Mytilus edulis: one gene and its partner. Each later gene encodes a partner of the first gene's protein in a complex. Links are inferred from orthologs where the notes say so. Each region holds a gene or a part of one and is shown on either strand. Other genes may lie near its edges.

Region 1 (7,831 bases):
AATTGAAAATAAACTGACAACGCCTGGCTTAGTCCTATAACATATGACCTCTGGGGCATTATTTACTATTTCTATTTACTGTTCTGATATTTTTCACATTAAAAAAAAAATATGAAAATATCAGTATAAAAACGTTAAAATTTGAATAAGAATGCGAAGTCATATGTTATAGGACTGACTATGCCTTGCTTAAAATAAAAGAAGACAAACAATAGAGCACATGACACAACATAGAAAACTAAAGAATAAGCAACACAAACCCCATCAATCAAAGAGCTGAAAGCTCTGAAGAAAAATGACGCCACTGTCTCTAATATTGGGATAGTTTTTATGCAAGTCTTGATTTTCACATACCGTAATTAGTTTAACAATGCAACATGTCTCGTAAGCATATAATTAATATTCGTATATGTGTGTGTGTGTGAAGTGAAGGTGACAACTGGCTGTTTTTTTAAGACAAATGAATAGGTCAAGACTACCTGAATTGTACAAATAAATACCGTAGAAAGGCTTGTATATTTCTCACTGGTACATAGTCTGAATCCGGGTCCGTTCGCGCCCACTCATGTTCGCCCCTTTCACTTTCACACCCTACATGTTCGCACCCAATCTTAATTGGTTTTGTGTTTAATAACTCTGTAAGCAAGTGTTTTCTTATAAGTATAATTGTTGTCATTGTCTCAAAATAAAGTGAGACAGCATTTTTTTTTGTGTTGAATAAATCTTAATCATGTTTTAGATAGCGTATTGTTAAAAATTATAATAATCCTTTCTAAATAAAGTGGTATTTTGTCAACGTTTTATTTTGTGTTGAATTACTCTTAATCATGTTTTGGTTGCTTTGTTTTGGTTATAATAGTGGATTGCTATATTTTGGTTCCTATATTTTATTGTTTCGTTGTTTCAGATCAAAGGGACCAAGCTGTTAAAAACAATTATCTTTTGTGTTTTTCCTTTAAAATCTTCAATGTTTTACTCATACCAAGCTATAAATACATTCAGTATTAACACCAAAGCAATTTAAAACAACAATCATGATTTTCCAATTATTCAACTTGAATTTGAATTAAAATTGGGCGCGAATGAGTAGAGTGCAAACGGACCTTGGGTGCGAACGTGCGAGGTGCGAACGTGTAGGGTGCGAAAGTGTATTGGGCGGGAACAGACATGATACCACATAGTCTGAACCCCCTTCTCCCACAAAATATTAAGTAAATAATCTTTTTGTTACTGTTATCAAAGGTCTTATGAAACTCAGGTAATTTCAAACATTTGTCAAAGAATTCTAGTCAAACCGGCACCTGGTTAAATTGGCACCTGGACAAATCAGCACCTGGTTAAATCCACACCTGATATAGTCAATTCGTCACCCATGTTAAATATAAATTTTAACAGTATTTTAAGCAAAAAGAGTAAAAATAAGTAAGGGGTTGCCAGAATTTTTTTCAGTATTTAAGCAAAAAGAGTTAAATACTAACTTTCACATTTTTGGGTGTTCATGTACATTTTGTATATATTTATTTTTCTCAACTTAATGACTTTTTTGGTGTATTTTTAATGATATATATATGAGTAGTCAAAATAATTATTACGTCTGGCAAGGCTTTTTTAATTTTATTCTGGGACACCTTTCTATGACCGCAAGGCTATGTTAATTTTTTTCTGGGACGCCTTCCTACGAACTTCGTAGGAAGACATCACAGAAAAAAAATAAAATAGCCTTGCCAGACGTCATAATTATTTGGACTAATACATGAGATATTGGATATTTTTATGCATTATTTAAACCAGTTGAGCATTTTACAGGATTGTTTGTTTAATGCTTTTTAAACTTTACTGAAGAAAAAAAACACCTTAAATTTGCTTATTATTTGGCATGAAAGTTTGATTTATTGAAAGGGACTCATAGTTTTCCATTTTATTTTAATAATTGTCTAATTGTTAAAACAACAGCTTGGGTAAGGGCTTCGTTGTTTACCTTTATACACAACAACATAATTTCACTTTGGTTTCGTTGTTTACCTAACTTCACAACAACATATTCACTATGTACTTGGTAACAGTTATTAATTAATTGAATAGAAAATATTATAACAAATATTATTGGATGCCGAATTGACGTCAAATAGGTGCCGATTTGACTAGATGCCAATTTAACCAGGTGCCGACTTGACTTGTACGTTTCAATTCCTCTGCGATCGTTTGCGGTATTTTCTTGAGAAAAACATATTTTCCATCATCAAAGAGAAGAAGAAACTGCTTGAAAATGATTCTGGAACGCTTCATGATTGTTAAAATAAGTTAAATTCACTCAAAAAACAATTTTAAAACTTGCGATGTTTAAACAGGAAGTTTCAAAAGCACGTGTAAAAGAAGAAATTAACCGGTGAGAGTGGAAATCCGTACATAACAGATATCACTATAGTACGATTTGAAAGCAAAACAGTTCCATCCTTTTGTAAAACAGTCTTTAATATACCTATCACATTAATGTTTGAAGGGTCTTAAGCTTATTCAAACCATAAAAGTCGGTATGAAACACCAAAACGGAATGAACAATAACCGATTACGTTTTGTAGTTTACAAATTCTAAACTGGTTCCCGTCAAACTACAACACTTTGTTCGAGTGTAGTGGAATACAAGCAGAAACCAGTTAGTTTGTAAACTGGTTCCTGGCTGATTACTACACAATGACCTCTCATGCATAATGATAACACAAGCAAATTCCAGTTTGTATAGAAAATAGTAAATACGAAACCAAGCGCGGTAGGCAGAGAAATGCAATGAAGTTCAGGTCGCCAGTAATGGAACAATGACTGCGTCATTTTCCAAAAACTAGGGGTGATCTCAGGTGCTCTGATCTGCTTAAGCTTATTAAGCTTAGATCTGCTCCAAATTACATTTTGACGTCAAATCTTTTGAATTGTGATGTCAAAGTTACGGAACATAATGGGGGACAAATTAGTATATGAGTGTAAATATTTCTATTGTCGGCTTTGGTCAGGTCATGTTTTTTCAAAAGCATGTATTTATTTTTTTCTTCTATATTTTTTTCTCAAGTATAAAATTATGAGAGAATCTTATTATCATTATATTTCACAATGTTTCAAATTTGTTATTAGCATATTTTTTTTTTATTTTGGTTCTTTCATTGTTCTGTCAATAGGGCCAATCATCACTGTAACCCACAGATATCAAAATGCAGCTGTATGCAAATTTGGATTTCAATTTCACAAAAAAAAACAGACAAAAATATCAATTGCAATATATATTGATCTATAAATTAAATATACTATAATGAAGCGTAACTGTCAAATTGTGACACACATAAAAAACAAAGACATCTACAATTTGGGAATGACAACACCTAAATACCTACCATTTATATTTTTACCGACAATCTCCTAATCCTCTTAGTCTTTTTTTCCAGAATTGTTTAGATGGAGGGAAGTTTAATCATTTCTCGTAACAAACGAGATTAATGTAGATGGGATATTCCATATGATACTAAGGGGGGCTAGGTTCCTATATTAAATTCTTAATTTTGATGCTTATCTTTAGAATTAGGAAAATGTAATTGTAAGATACAGTTTGTTTTCATTATTAAACAAATATTTGCTTGTATATCAATTTGGTCTCGATATTTTTTTTTAAATATTTTGCCTCACAAATTGATACACCCCTTTAAAATTTCACACAACGCATTTTATACGATCCAATATGTCAGCGCCCATGAAAACTTAAAACTAAAAGAAAAGAAATACTGAGAAAATATTATTCAACTTAAGACATTAAAAGAAAGGATGCCAGTACTGATGGAAAAACAGAAAGATATTTTCTTTGTAAATAACCCTTTTCAAGTTAATATGAGGCAGGCATTACCTGTACTGAAATGGGGACGAAGTCTGTATGAATTGTTTTTTTGTAACTTAAATATTTGTTAAAAAAAAGAAACGGAAATACCGTAACGTTTCCGATTTTGGTTCTGTTGTTAGGGATTTTAGTTGTGACGTTATTTAAATTATGACGTCATATGCAATGTAAACAAAGAAACGCTATCATCAGGTAACGTTTTTTCATATCAAGGAATTATTAAAAATGAAATTGGTATTGCGCGTTCCTTCCTATTTTATACTAGACTGATAAATATATATTTTACTTAAAGTTTCATACAAACGAGACCGGAAAAAGGAAGTACATTTCTGCGCAGGTTCGGGATTTCAAAACACGACAAAAAAATTTGAACGATTTTGAGTTCATTAGTACAATGAAAAAATTTTTATTGAATTTTCTACTGTTATTGGGGACTTCGTCCCCATACAAGCGGTTGTTGGCACTTTTGAAACGACGACCACACTTTAGAAGTGTCTTTTTTTTTAAATTATGTATTTTACATTATCAATATGCGAGTTTCGAGTTACAAATTATCTACTGGCACACTACATACAGTGTGTCTAATCGGCAGCAGCGATTGCAGCTTTTACCATAGAGGTGACGGTAAAAAAAATAAATGTTCCGAATACAAATCAAAATAAAAAATTTGAAACAAATTTTAATGTCGTTACAAAACTGTTGGAAGACGGGTTCTTTAAAGAGAAAAAAAGATTAAAAGGGTAACTCATGAGTATAAACACCCCCTATAAGTATGCTGGCTTATTACTTGGTTTATTTTTAAATTGATAAAGCTATAGTTGCTAATGTTTACACTATCAACTCACTGAACAACAAATAACAGGCTATTATTTGAACTTGGAATTATTTTTAATTATGGAATTTGCATAATTTCTTGTGTTTAAAATTTTTAATAAATTCCATGTTAATGTGGTATTAAAATCTTTTTAGCGGTTAATAAAACTTTCCATACAATGTATTTTGGTTAGATAGTGTTGTGCGCGGCACAGTACATTCTATTGAAAATATAGTATTTTCTTTGTAATAGAAAGTGTTGTGCGCAGCACAGAGCATTTCAGTACAGAATAAACATGGAATTTATAAAAAAATTCAATAACAAGATATCAAGCAAATTCCATAATTAAAAATAATTCCAAGTTCAAATAATAGCCTGTTAAATGTTAATCGATAAAATAATTCATTGACCAAAAAAATAATAATTATTTATAATTAATTTAAACAAAATCATGAAGCGCGTTTTCTATGGAAGTCTTTAATGAATAAGGCAGTTCATGATTTTTATTTATCTTTAATAAAAGTATGAAATATATTTTTGGTATTGTTTGAAAATATTTTTTTTGTGGTTCTTTTTCTGATTATGATCAGCATTGTCTTGTTGTTTGCTAGCGTGCTACTGCGGTAGGTCGTGGGTTCAAACCCCGGTAGGTCAAACCAATGACTTATAAATTGGTAGAATAATGTGGCCAGGTAAAAATGTACATGTAGGTTGATATGTCTTCCAGCGGAATGTTTACAGATAACTTGTGATCACTTGTGACATTAGAACGTCAAAAATCCGGTTAAGTAACAATATTGATCTAGTCTTCTCTACCTATTCTTATGGTTAATGATTATGTATAATAAATATATCCTAATTGATGCTTATAACATGTTCTAGTCTTTAAGAAGCTTATAACTTGCTGTTGGACATAAATAAATATATATACATAAGAACGTGTGTTGAAGCTTTTCGATAGTACAGGTCACAGGAGAATCGGAAAGTTTTGATTGACCAACATAGATTAACTTTAATATGAAACTTGTTTTGTTACTCACTAGGCTAGCTAATATAAAACAAACCCGCATTTTTGTTATTTTTTTTTTGTTTTTTTATTTTAAATAGTAATGCTGAAATAAGCTTCTCCCGTTTCAGGCACCCAGAATGCCCCTTAAAAAAAGGCAAAAAAATTGGTCACCTCGCTCCGCTAGGCGATTTGCCTCACTTTAAATAGACAGGCGCTACGGCCTTGACATCTACATCTACATGGGTAATCCGTAAAGAGTTGGTTGACTCATCACACGAATGTGTTAAAGCTTTTATAACAGACACAACGATAGGCATACATTTACACAATATATATACAAAAAGGTGTGTAATAACAGAATAAAAAATTGGCAAATGGACTATTTCAGATTTTCAAAGATTTTCAAAGTCTTTTCAAAAAGGGAAATAGCTTGAATTGAATTATAGCAAAGAAAATAATCAGTCAGGGGACTTATTCAAAAAAGTGATTTTTAAATCACTTATTTGAGTAGCAAATTCAAAATTTTGTGTGATTTTGTAGTTTTACCAAAATTTTTAACACATAGGTTTAAATAATATCTTTTCATTAGTAAAATTGAAAAACATGAATTTTTTGCTTCTTTTTAGTAGCAAGGTTTATGCCTTTGATGCTATCATTTAGTTGCAAATTCTATTTTAGTTGAAAAAATGCTATAATGACGGCTTTAAATAATGAACTGATACTTTCTAAACAGATTTTCCCCAGCAGTGGGAGTATTTTTCCTGTAAAGTTCAAGGTTTCATCTTTCAGATTATGTAATAAAATTCTACTGTTCGCGATAAAAATTTCACTGTTCAGAGGTGTTGAAATTAGTGGGGGTTATCAAAATATGATATTTTGGAAGAAAATTGAGGTATGATACTTAAACAGATGATTTTTATGTCATTATCCTAGATTCAGTACAAGGTCATCACCTGAAATGACCTGATCATCCTAGACAGCACAGATGATTGTTCTGATAAGTTTAGAAACATAATTAGTCCCTGGATCATTAGTATTCTATATTTAAAGCTACAATGAAATTAAATCACTTAGTCTAGTGATAAATTTGTACTACTTAAATAGGTGATTATTAAAGAAAGACAACTCTTGCTTCCAACCTTTATGGAAATAATGTTACTTGAACCAGTGATTTAGAAAATCACTTATTTAAGTAAGTCCCCTGACTGATAATATAATATCAAAAATTGCAAATGTTTTAGTTTGGTTTTTTTTCTAGGAAGAAGATGATCTACCATATGAAGAAGATATTTTACGAAACCCATATTCTGTTAAATGTTGGCTTCGTTACTTAGAGTTTAAGAAACTAGCTTCAAGAAATGTTGTTAATATGATATATGAAAGAGCTCTGAAAGAATTGCCAGGAAGGTAAATGATTAACAATTAATAATATCATTAATTACTAATTACTTATATATCTTACTTCATACCCAAATCATTTTGGATAACAGGCAATTTTTTCATTCATGTTTTTAGCTAATTTGATGGTTGATTTCTCAATAAGAAGTTTGATATATTTTCGTTAGCAAAAAGAGTGAATAAATTATGTTGTTCATCTACTTAAAAATTATTAAAAAAAAAGTACATAATCTCTAAGCAAGACTTCAACTTATTAGACCTCTTAAGAAAACTTCAGTTGTAACAGTCTCTTGTGATATTTTGTTACTGAGAAACAACTGTAAATGGACAATTTGACATGTACTGTATACTCTTCATGTAATTTGTTTTCATATATTTGTATGACCCTTTATGACTACCTTTGTTTATTTACATTGCAGCTACAAATTATGGTACAATTATTTAAAACTACGGAGACGACAAGTGAAAGGGAAGTGTATAAATGACCCAGCCGTAGAGGATGTATGCAATGCCCACGAGAGGGCGCTAGTGTTCATGCATAAGGTATGCTAACTGGTGTTAATGAAATTGACAACTGTATTGAATGTGGAAGATCCTCAAAGAGGATTTTCTTTAACAAAAAATAAAAATTATTTTATTAAACGTTGAAGAGAAAGATTCTTACATAGTTACTTGTGGATTATTGGATATATCCAATCTTGATAGTTAAATTATAAATTTTAAAGTCCTCGCCAGG
Region 2 (8,522 bases), on another chromosome or scaffold:
CTACATTTTATATTGGTGAAAGAAGCCAGATTGTCAGGAGAGAAGTTTAACCACTGAATTTTATATTGGTGAAAGAAGCCAGATTGTTAGGAGAGAAGTTTAACCACTACATTATATATTAGTTTGAATATCCCTCAGAAGATGGTCTACAGAGTTTGATGAATCAATGTACATGTACATTTCTGTGCTGCTTAAGCATGTTTAAGCCAAGGATTTGTATGGTAAGACTCAAAATCTGTGCTTACGGGGTAAGCATTTATAATAAAAAGTCTATATAAAGAACATATATACATTAAGTTTATCATAAACTTTTAGCAAATATGGCCGTATTTACACCAAAAAAATATCACTCTGAGTACAGACAAGCCTGTGCACTAGGAAAAGGTTTGGAGAATGTCTGGACCTAGATACATGTATTTAAAATTAAAATGCATTTTGAGTTTAAGAATATTAAAAAACTTCCCAGAATATTGCTATTAATTTTTTACATTTCTGCAGAAGGTGCTAAAACAAACTAAGTTGAAAAAGAAGTTTAAGAACATCCCCTCATTTTATTAATGTTGCGAGTTAAATTGATTTAAATAGACAAAAGTGCAAGACATGTACATGTAGATGGACCCCTGCAAACAATATGTGATTTAAACTGTACATGTATAACCATTGATTACTGAGTTAACGTTGACTGAATCAAATGAAATTTGTGTGTTAGTTTATTTTCCTAAGTTCTGCAAACTGGAAAAGTATAATATATGCAATGTATACATGTATATATATATCATGGTATATGCATAACTTAATCCAAGTAAGATTTTAATTCTTCTTCTTCCTGGCTAAAGACTGGATTCTTTTAAAGAATGGTATAAGACCACTAGACGGAGAATGAGACATTTCTGTCATCTTTATAGATTTACCTTGATTCAAATGGATTTCAAATTGAACTGGCCAATTACATGAATTTTCATATTTAGAAAAGCACTCACTTGGGTTTTTATATTCACATAATTTGTTGGGCCAATGGCCGATTTAGTGCACCCTAAACTATATAGTACTAGAAGCATCCATGTATTTGTATTTTTTTTTGTTTTTTTGCCATTTCAGCATACATGGCATTAGTCCAAATGATTATGAAGTCTGGCAAGGCTATTTTAATTTTTTTCTGGGACGTCCCAGAAAAAAATTAAAAAAGCCTTGCCAGACGTCATAATTATTAGGACTAACATGGCATATGTTCAGTTTGTTTTTGATTTATGTGTTTGAATAATAATAAATTGCAAAATTGCAAATGGAAATGGGGAATACGTCAGGGAGACAGCAACTCGACCAAAGCGCAGACAACAGCCAAGGGCCACCATGGGTCTTCAATGCAGCTTAAATCTCCCCCACCCAGAGGCATGCTTCAGCTGGCCCCTAAACAAAATGTATGCTAGTTAAATGATAATGGACCTCGTACTAAACTCTGAAATATACACAAGAAACTAAAATTAAAAACCATACAAGACTAACAAAGGTCAGAGGCTCCTGACTTGGGACTGGTGCATTTTGGCAGGGTTAAAACATGTTTTTTATTTTTATCTCAACCCTCCCCCTAAACATTGCTAAAAGCCTTTGTATCTTTAGTCTCTATTTTAAAGAAATGTCATTTAGGGTAATTTTAATAAATATAGTATTCTTCTTCATTGGCGGATCCAGGGGGTGGTACGGGGAGAATCCGGGTCCGTCCGCCCTGATTTTTGTTCGCCCTAGTTACTGTTCGCCCTAGTTCCGTTTCGCCCTGAGACCGTTCGCCCTGATACCTGTTCGCCCCGGGTATGTTCGCCCTGATTTATATTTTTTATTATAGTGTTGTTTTGTGTGTATTTAATTGAATATGTTGAAGTCAGTCTACAATTTCGCCGAATATTTACGATTTTTATTTTTTAGTACAGTGTTGTTTTGTGTGTATTTAATTGAATATATATGTTAAAGTCGGCCTACAATTTCGCCGAATATTTTCGGTGTATTATGTTGTCGACAGCTAGCTGCTACTAGGTTATAAGTTCCTGTAAATTATAGGACTACAAGATATTGTGACTTCAAGGTATTGAGAACTAAGTTAGTATCTGTATGTAATTACGTTACTAGGAAATAAGATTTTGTGAATTTCAATCAGCACTACATTGTATTTTCAAATGTACTAAGTTATTATGTTGTCTTGCTGCTACGAGGATAAGTTTCTGTGAATTGAAAGACTACAAAGTATTTGACATGAAACAACTAAAGACTAAGTTATTTATATATTTAACTTTATTGATACATTTTAACAATATAAAAATATTCAGTAACAGTTATAACAAGAAACTGCATGTTGACGAGGTCGGACCTCTCTGTCACAAGAAATACACATGTACACTTCCATAGTTTATGGAATGATAAACCGGTTCCATAATCCACTTCCATATATAACAAATTTGTCAAAACACACTTGAGATCAAAGAAGCCAAGCTGCGAAAATAATTTCCCTGTCATGCCTAGCAATTTGTACATCAATGTTTTTACCCATCCAAGCTGACTATTTTATTTGAGAAAAATGTTATTTTCATTATTAACCATCAAATTCATATACCAATCAGTGATATCAAAGATTTCAAATTATACCTAATCAGCAATCAAAATTCAATCAACAGTAATTAAACGTAATTATAAAATAAAGTGTTACAATTAATGCAGCCAAGAATTTTATTTAATTAATATTCTGTATTTAACTTTTAATAGATATACATAAATTTTAATATATATAAATATATATTTCTTTCATTATAAATTTTAAACATAAAATATATAATATATAACATATACATATCATAAATAAAAATAGGGCGAACAAACCCAGGACGAACGGATTACCAGGGCGAACAAACTCAGTGCGAACGAACCTAGGGCGAACATGTAATCAGGGCGAACGATCCCGATACCGTACGGGGACCCCCTTTTTTAAATGGCTGGATCCGCCACTGTTCTTGTACACACACATGGCATGAAAATCTTTATTTTTTGTAAGATGATACAAATGTTTCCTTGTTCTTGAAGAAAATTATGCTTCCTCCTTATGAAAACTTTTTGTACCCGAAATCCATGATTTCTTACGCAACAAAGAGCACATTTCTTAAATATGTACTAATTCAATTGAAAAATTAGAATATACTCACTCATCCTCGTGTATTAATCCCCAAAATATGTCTACTATTTACAAAATTTGATCCGATTTTCTTCACGTTTCACTGGTTTCCACATAAACAAATGATGTTACGGTAAAGTGAAGATTTTATGTAAAATTGTTTACGTTAACTTTTAATGTTAGAAATGAAAAAAATACTTAAAATGTAACATTTTCTGAATGTATGTGGTTTAAGAATTCTTCAAAAGCATTCAAATTATGTGAAACATGAGTGTGACATAACTTACAATCGTAAAACATACTTCCACAAGTTTGGATATGTGATACAATAACGGATTGTCCCTACAGAGAACCGTATGAAGACTGACAAGATACACCATATATATTTTAAAACAACAACGCATCGTGAAGAACAAAAGTGCACATATTTGAAATATCATATAATCCATAGAAACACATGGTAAATACTATAAAAGAATTAAAACTGAGTTATTATATATCAAATTGATCTGTAATAAATTGTATAAATATATGTTGTGATACACATGTCACTATAGTAAATAATTACTTACTTAATTAATATTTTGTTCTGAAAGAATTACAGGATCTTGAACCGTATCGGGTCCGTTCGCTCCCAAAACCCATTCCCACCCTACACATTCTACCCTTCCCAAGGCTATTTTTATTCAAATACCAGTTACATTAGATGTTTTTTTTAGATGTGTGTATGTCTCTAGTATTGTTTTGTCTTACTATCTATAGATAGTGAGTTTTCTGCTGTCCTTCATATCTGATTTGATATCATTTACTAGCTTTTAATAGCAAAGCTTCAATTTTGATATTTTCTCTCTTACAGTTCTAGTTATATCTTCTTTCGTCAATCAGCAACGGAAAAATATCATCACGCTGATGCTGTGTCACCATTAGGTAAGGAATAACTCTTCAATGCATCCAAATCCATACCTGTATCTTCTAATACGTGAAATCTATAATATTGACTATTATTATAAAAGGGGTTCTCCTTTACGAATTTAGATTTTTTATTGTCAAAGTTTTTGCTACATTTCATTAAAAGTTTACCCAAAGTGAGAGCCATAATATGCCAAAAAGTATTAATATAAACATGGAACTCCAAGGAATTGAAATTCAAAAAGGGGTCGGAAGTTTATAAACATGTCAAAAGCAAGAATGTATCCATAGTACACGGATGCCCCACTCGCACTATCATTTTCCATGTTCAGTGGACCCTGCAATTGGGATCAAAACTTTAATTTGGAATTAAATTAGAAAGATCATATCATAGGGAACAATTGTGTACTAGGTTTCAAGTTGATGTGACTTCAACTTCATCAAAAACTACCTTGACCAAAAACTTTAACATGAAGCGGGACGAACGGACGGACGAATGAACGGACGAACGGACCCGCAGACCAGAAAATATAAAGCCCCTCTACTATCGTAGACGAACAGTCATTATAACTGCATTCTTCGGTAACTCTGCATGATACTGGTTTATGATTTATAACATTGCTTTGAAAATTTTGTACATGAGTATTTATAGCTGCAATTTAGTAGGATGATTGTTCTAAATTGTATTACTGAAAAGATTTGTATTCGAATTGTGTATAGATACTGTAAATGAACAATATGATTTTGAGTGACGGAGGGAGTACCAACACTATCATGATATAAACAGAGTATCGTTCAACGATATGAAAGACTATGACTGTTTCTCTACAAAGGCAGGGTTATTTATTTTTTTTAGATATACAGAGGTCAGGTCATGGACGCCAGTGTGATAGATCATTTAGATGACTTGAAAAAACACATAGGTATATATATTATCTCATAAAACATTCACTCTTACATAGCTACTGTTTCCTGCTTGTGATCTAAATTCGTAGCTATTTTGATTTTAATGAGAGAGAGAAAATGAGAACAATACGTTGAATAATTCATACGTCTGAAGCGTTTTTTCTGGATTTACCTAAATCGGGAAATCTCAAAGCCGAATATTTGAAAACCATGAATTTATAATTTACAACCTAAACTGTTGAAGAGCTATATGACCAAACAGGATTTGGTACAATATAAATTTCTACGCCATGTTGTCTCATCAGGAACATATATATTGATATACTATTCCCATGTCTCATAGGCAATCGTACCACACCTTCTTGTTTTTTTTTATTTTTTTTTTGCTTGTAGGCGGTCGTGCTACATTTGGCATACAATAAAAACAAAAATAAAACAAAATTCATTGTCATGTCAGTACCGAAGTCCTGGCTACTATAAAACCACATAACTGTTTAAAGTTAAAACCAAAACTGACAGGGGATATTGGATCTATACATGAGGGAGATACATTTCATATTTAAAAAGATTTTTAAATTTTACAACATATTCTAAAGGAAACGGCTACGATTACGCTGTTTTAATCGTAAATAAACGAAATATTGTTACGTTAAAGACTACATTCAATTGCAAGACTGAATTAATGTAATGTTATGTTAGACACCGATTAAATACAGACGTAACGATAATATTTCTATCTACAATTACATATATTTTTCGAGAATTTAAAGCTCATTTCTTTTCAAAGCGTGGTAGTCCCTGAACGATTTATTTTATCAAAAAAAGGGACATTGTCAGAATGCATTCTGTGCTTACAGTGACGTGCACATCACAGTGTACATTTGTGATGGCTGCCTTAAGTTGTTATACAAAAATACATAGGCCTAAAGGACATGAATTCAAAACATGGACTTTCTACACTAATATAATAGTCTTGTTTAACGGGGTATAAAGTGATGTCAAAGAACCCTAGACTTGTCGTTTATGGAACCCCCGTAAAACAAGACTATAATGACGAATAGTATAGTTAGTATAGAAAGTCCCTGTTCAAAAGCACATAGTGGGTGTGTAGAAGTTACTATTCTATATAAACTATACAATGTATGCAATTTTGGTGAATATTGTACATTTTTTGTAATATTGTTCAAATTGATTTAGAATTTAAAGGTGGTTAATTTGTCGCTTTATATATTAGTTGTGGGGCGGGGGGATCCCCTTTTTTGAAAGATCATGATGCATATGAATGGGGACATGTGGTTGGAACCACTCCCTTTTTATTCTGGGTTGCCGGGTCCCCCCTTTTACAAAATGACTGGATCCGCCCCTGTATCAACATTGTGATTTATTTTCAGATTGGCACCAGGTTTTTACAAAAGACATTCACCTTTTTTAAATGTAGAAAGTTAAGACTGTTTTCATCTTTATGCATTTTTAAAGATGTATAAAAAGAATTGTCAATAGAATATTGAATGAACGGAGTTTGAACAACCATTTTATATAAGAACCCTGTTATCCAACATCATAAAACAGACATTTTTAAAAGTTGTTTGCTACGAATTTCAAATGGACACCGATTTAACATTTGCAATTTCGTGTAACCAACTCTTCATATTTATATCCAGTTTATTCATTTGAGAAATATAGAAAGACAAATAGCTTGAATTTTCTCACCAACTGTTATCCCCAATTTTTCGATTGAAACTTATCGTCTAAAATTCCGTAAAACATGAAACAAACACAACTGCAGCTATTCTTGAGGTATAGCTTCCCCCAAAACATTTCTTTCGGTCATGTCTTTGTCAGTTTATATCGCCCGTATATTTTCTTAGTTTTCATTCTTTAATTTGAATTGTTAAATAACTAGTTGAAGTTTAGATTCCTCCTCCTGTGTAAGCAAGAACATAGCAAATATTTCATTTTGTCCATTCCTATCACCATTGATTATTAAGTAGAGTGGCATATTCAGATTATTTGTCTTATAAGTAGCATCTACAGTATTACTTTGAGTTTAACTATCAAATGCTTTCCTCATGTGTCATATTCAATTTTCAAAGTATTCATATGAGTCTAACAGTAACACAAGTTTTTAAATATAAATTTTAATTTTAATATTTTAAAATTATTATTCTTACAATTTAATTCCAGCGAGATATATTTTAATCAGAGCCGGCAAAATAGCATTTCTTCTCTTTTGCCGGTGCCGGTCAAATAGCCACTGTCTAATTTTAACTCGCTGGTTTTTAATAAAATCGACCAAATAAACACATGGAAAATGCGATGATGTCTGACAGGCAAACGACATAGCTGTACTTCATGTAACCCTTCTATTTTTTCTGAACGTAGTGTCAAATGTAATTTTCATGTACGTACCGTTATACTGTTTCATCTGTTGAATGTTTTAATTATTATTTAACTATCATAGCCCTGCTTGTAGAAAATATTTTAATTAGAAATGTTGTTACGCTTTTCTTTTTAAAATTTTGGGTTTGGTGTTTAGTCATACCTAAAAGTTATCATGCAAGGAATATTCTTAGTAAGCTTTTATCTGGGTCGAAAATGCAGACAGCCTAACATAGGATATTGGAGTTTTTGTAAAGGTTTCCTAAATATGGGACTTTGTTTGCCCTGTCTTGGAGGACAATCTGATGATTATGATCAGCCATCACCAGTAAATATGTTTCTCAATAATGACACACATCTTTATGAGTTGAAAAGGACGTTTAGCTCAAATTTTAGCTTTTAGGGTCTTGACGAATCGTGTTTCATGGTTTCGTTTAGTCCAAATAATTATGACGTCTAGAAAGGCTATTATAATTTTTTTCTTTGACGCCTTACATCGATGTAAGGCGTCAAAGAAAAAAATTATAATAGCCTTTCAAGACGTCATAATTATTTGGACTAGGTTTCGTTGTATTATTATTTCCTGTTTTATAAACAATTGTATTTAAAACTAATAGGTCTAGAAAGCTAAAATCCAGTTGCTTTTCTGAAAACTCATAAAATTATATATAAAATTTGAATGTTTTAATATATGCAGGGTTTTATTAAATTTTCTATAAAATTGAGAAAGGAAATGGGGAATGTGTCAAAGCAACAACAACCTGACCATAGAGCAGACAACAGCCGAAGGCCACCAATGGGTCTTCAATGTAGCGAAAAACTCCCGCACCCGTAGGCGTCCTTCAGCTACCCCCTTAAAAAATATGTATACTTAAGTACAGTGATAATGGACGTCATACTAATTATACACGAGAAACTAAAATTAAAAATCATACAAGACTAACAAAGGTCAGGAGCCAGGCACTAAATTGCGGCGGAGTTAAACATGTTTATGAGATCTCAACCCTCCCCCTATACCTCTAGCCATTGAATGTCTATATATATGTCTGAATTAACAGTATTCTATATGTAGATGATATTTACCTCTAGGAAACAAAGAGACGACAACAAGCAGCAGCAGCAGAGCAAAGACAGAAAGCTACCGAAGGAAGAGGACTTAAAGATCCTGAAAATG

What was found. The genes of interacting proteins can lie anywhere in the genome.
Region 2: the proteins of G-protein-signaling modulator 2-like (region 1) and protein inscuteable homolog are in contact, whole or in part, in a crystal structure (PDB 3RO3), measured with the Mus musculus proteins. The link is inferred for Mytilus edulis from reciprocal best matches to the Homo sapiens genes GPSM2 and INSC. Residues at the interface, in NP_083798.2 of Mus musculus: Asn210, Tyr213, Leu214, Phe218, Arg242, Ser246, Asn247, Asn250, Ile253, Phe254, Tyr265, Gln283, Tyr286, Ser287, Asn290, Thr291, Thr293, Leu294, Arg323, Trp326, Ser327, Asn330; in XP_006507722.1 of Mus musculus: Val72, Asp73, Ser74, Val75, Arg77, Trp78, Met79, Asp81, Leu82, Lys83, Leu84, Met85, Thr86, Glu87.

Annotation. Positions count from the first base shown.
Region 1 is NC_092345.1:1,970,195-1,978,025, forward strand, and holds the start of G-protein-signaling modulator 2-like, read right to left. Parts: upstream 3,491-7,831; 5' UTR 3,381-3,490; intron 1-3,380. Other genes in the region: pre-mRNA-splicing factor SYF1-like, read left to right, coding at 3,805-3,843, 6,956-7,104, 7,515-7,638. UniProt on the Homo sapiens protein: Plays an important role in mitotic spindle pole organization via its interaction with NUMA1. Required for cortical dynein-dynactin complex recruitment during metaphase. Plays a role in metaphase spindle orientation.
Region 2 is NC_092353.1:81,276,933-81,285,454, reverse strand, and holds the start of protein inscuteable homolog, read right to left. Parts: upstream 3,285-8,522; 5' UTR 3,186-3,284; intron 1-3,185. Other genes in the region: uncharacterized protein, read left to right, coding at 7,524-7,676, 8,438-8,522. UniProt on the Homo sapiens protein: May function as an adapter linking the Par3 complex to the GPSM1/GPSM2 complex. Involved in spindle orientation during mitosis. May regulate cell proliferation and differentiation in the developing nervous system.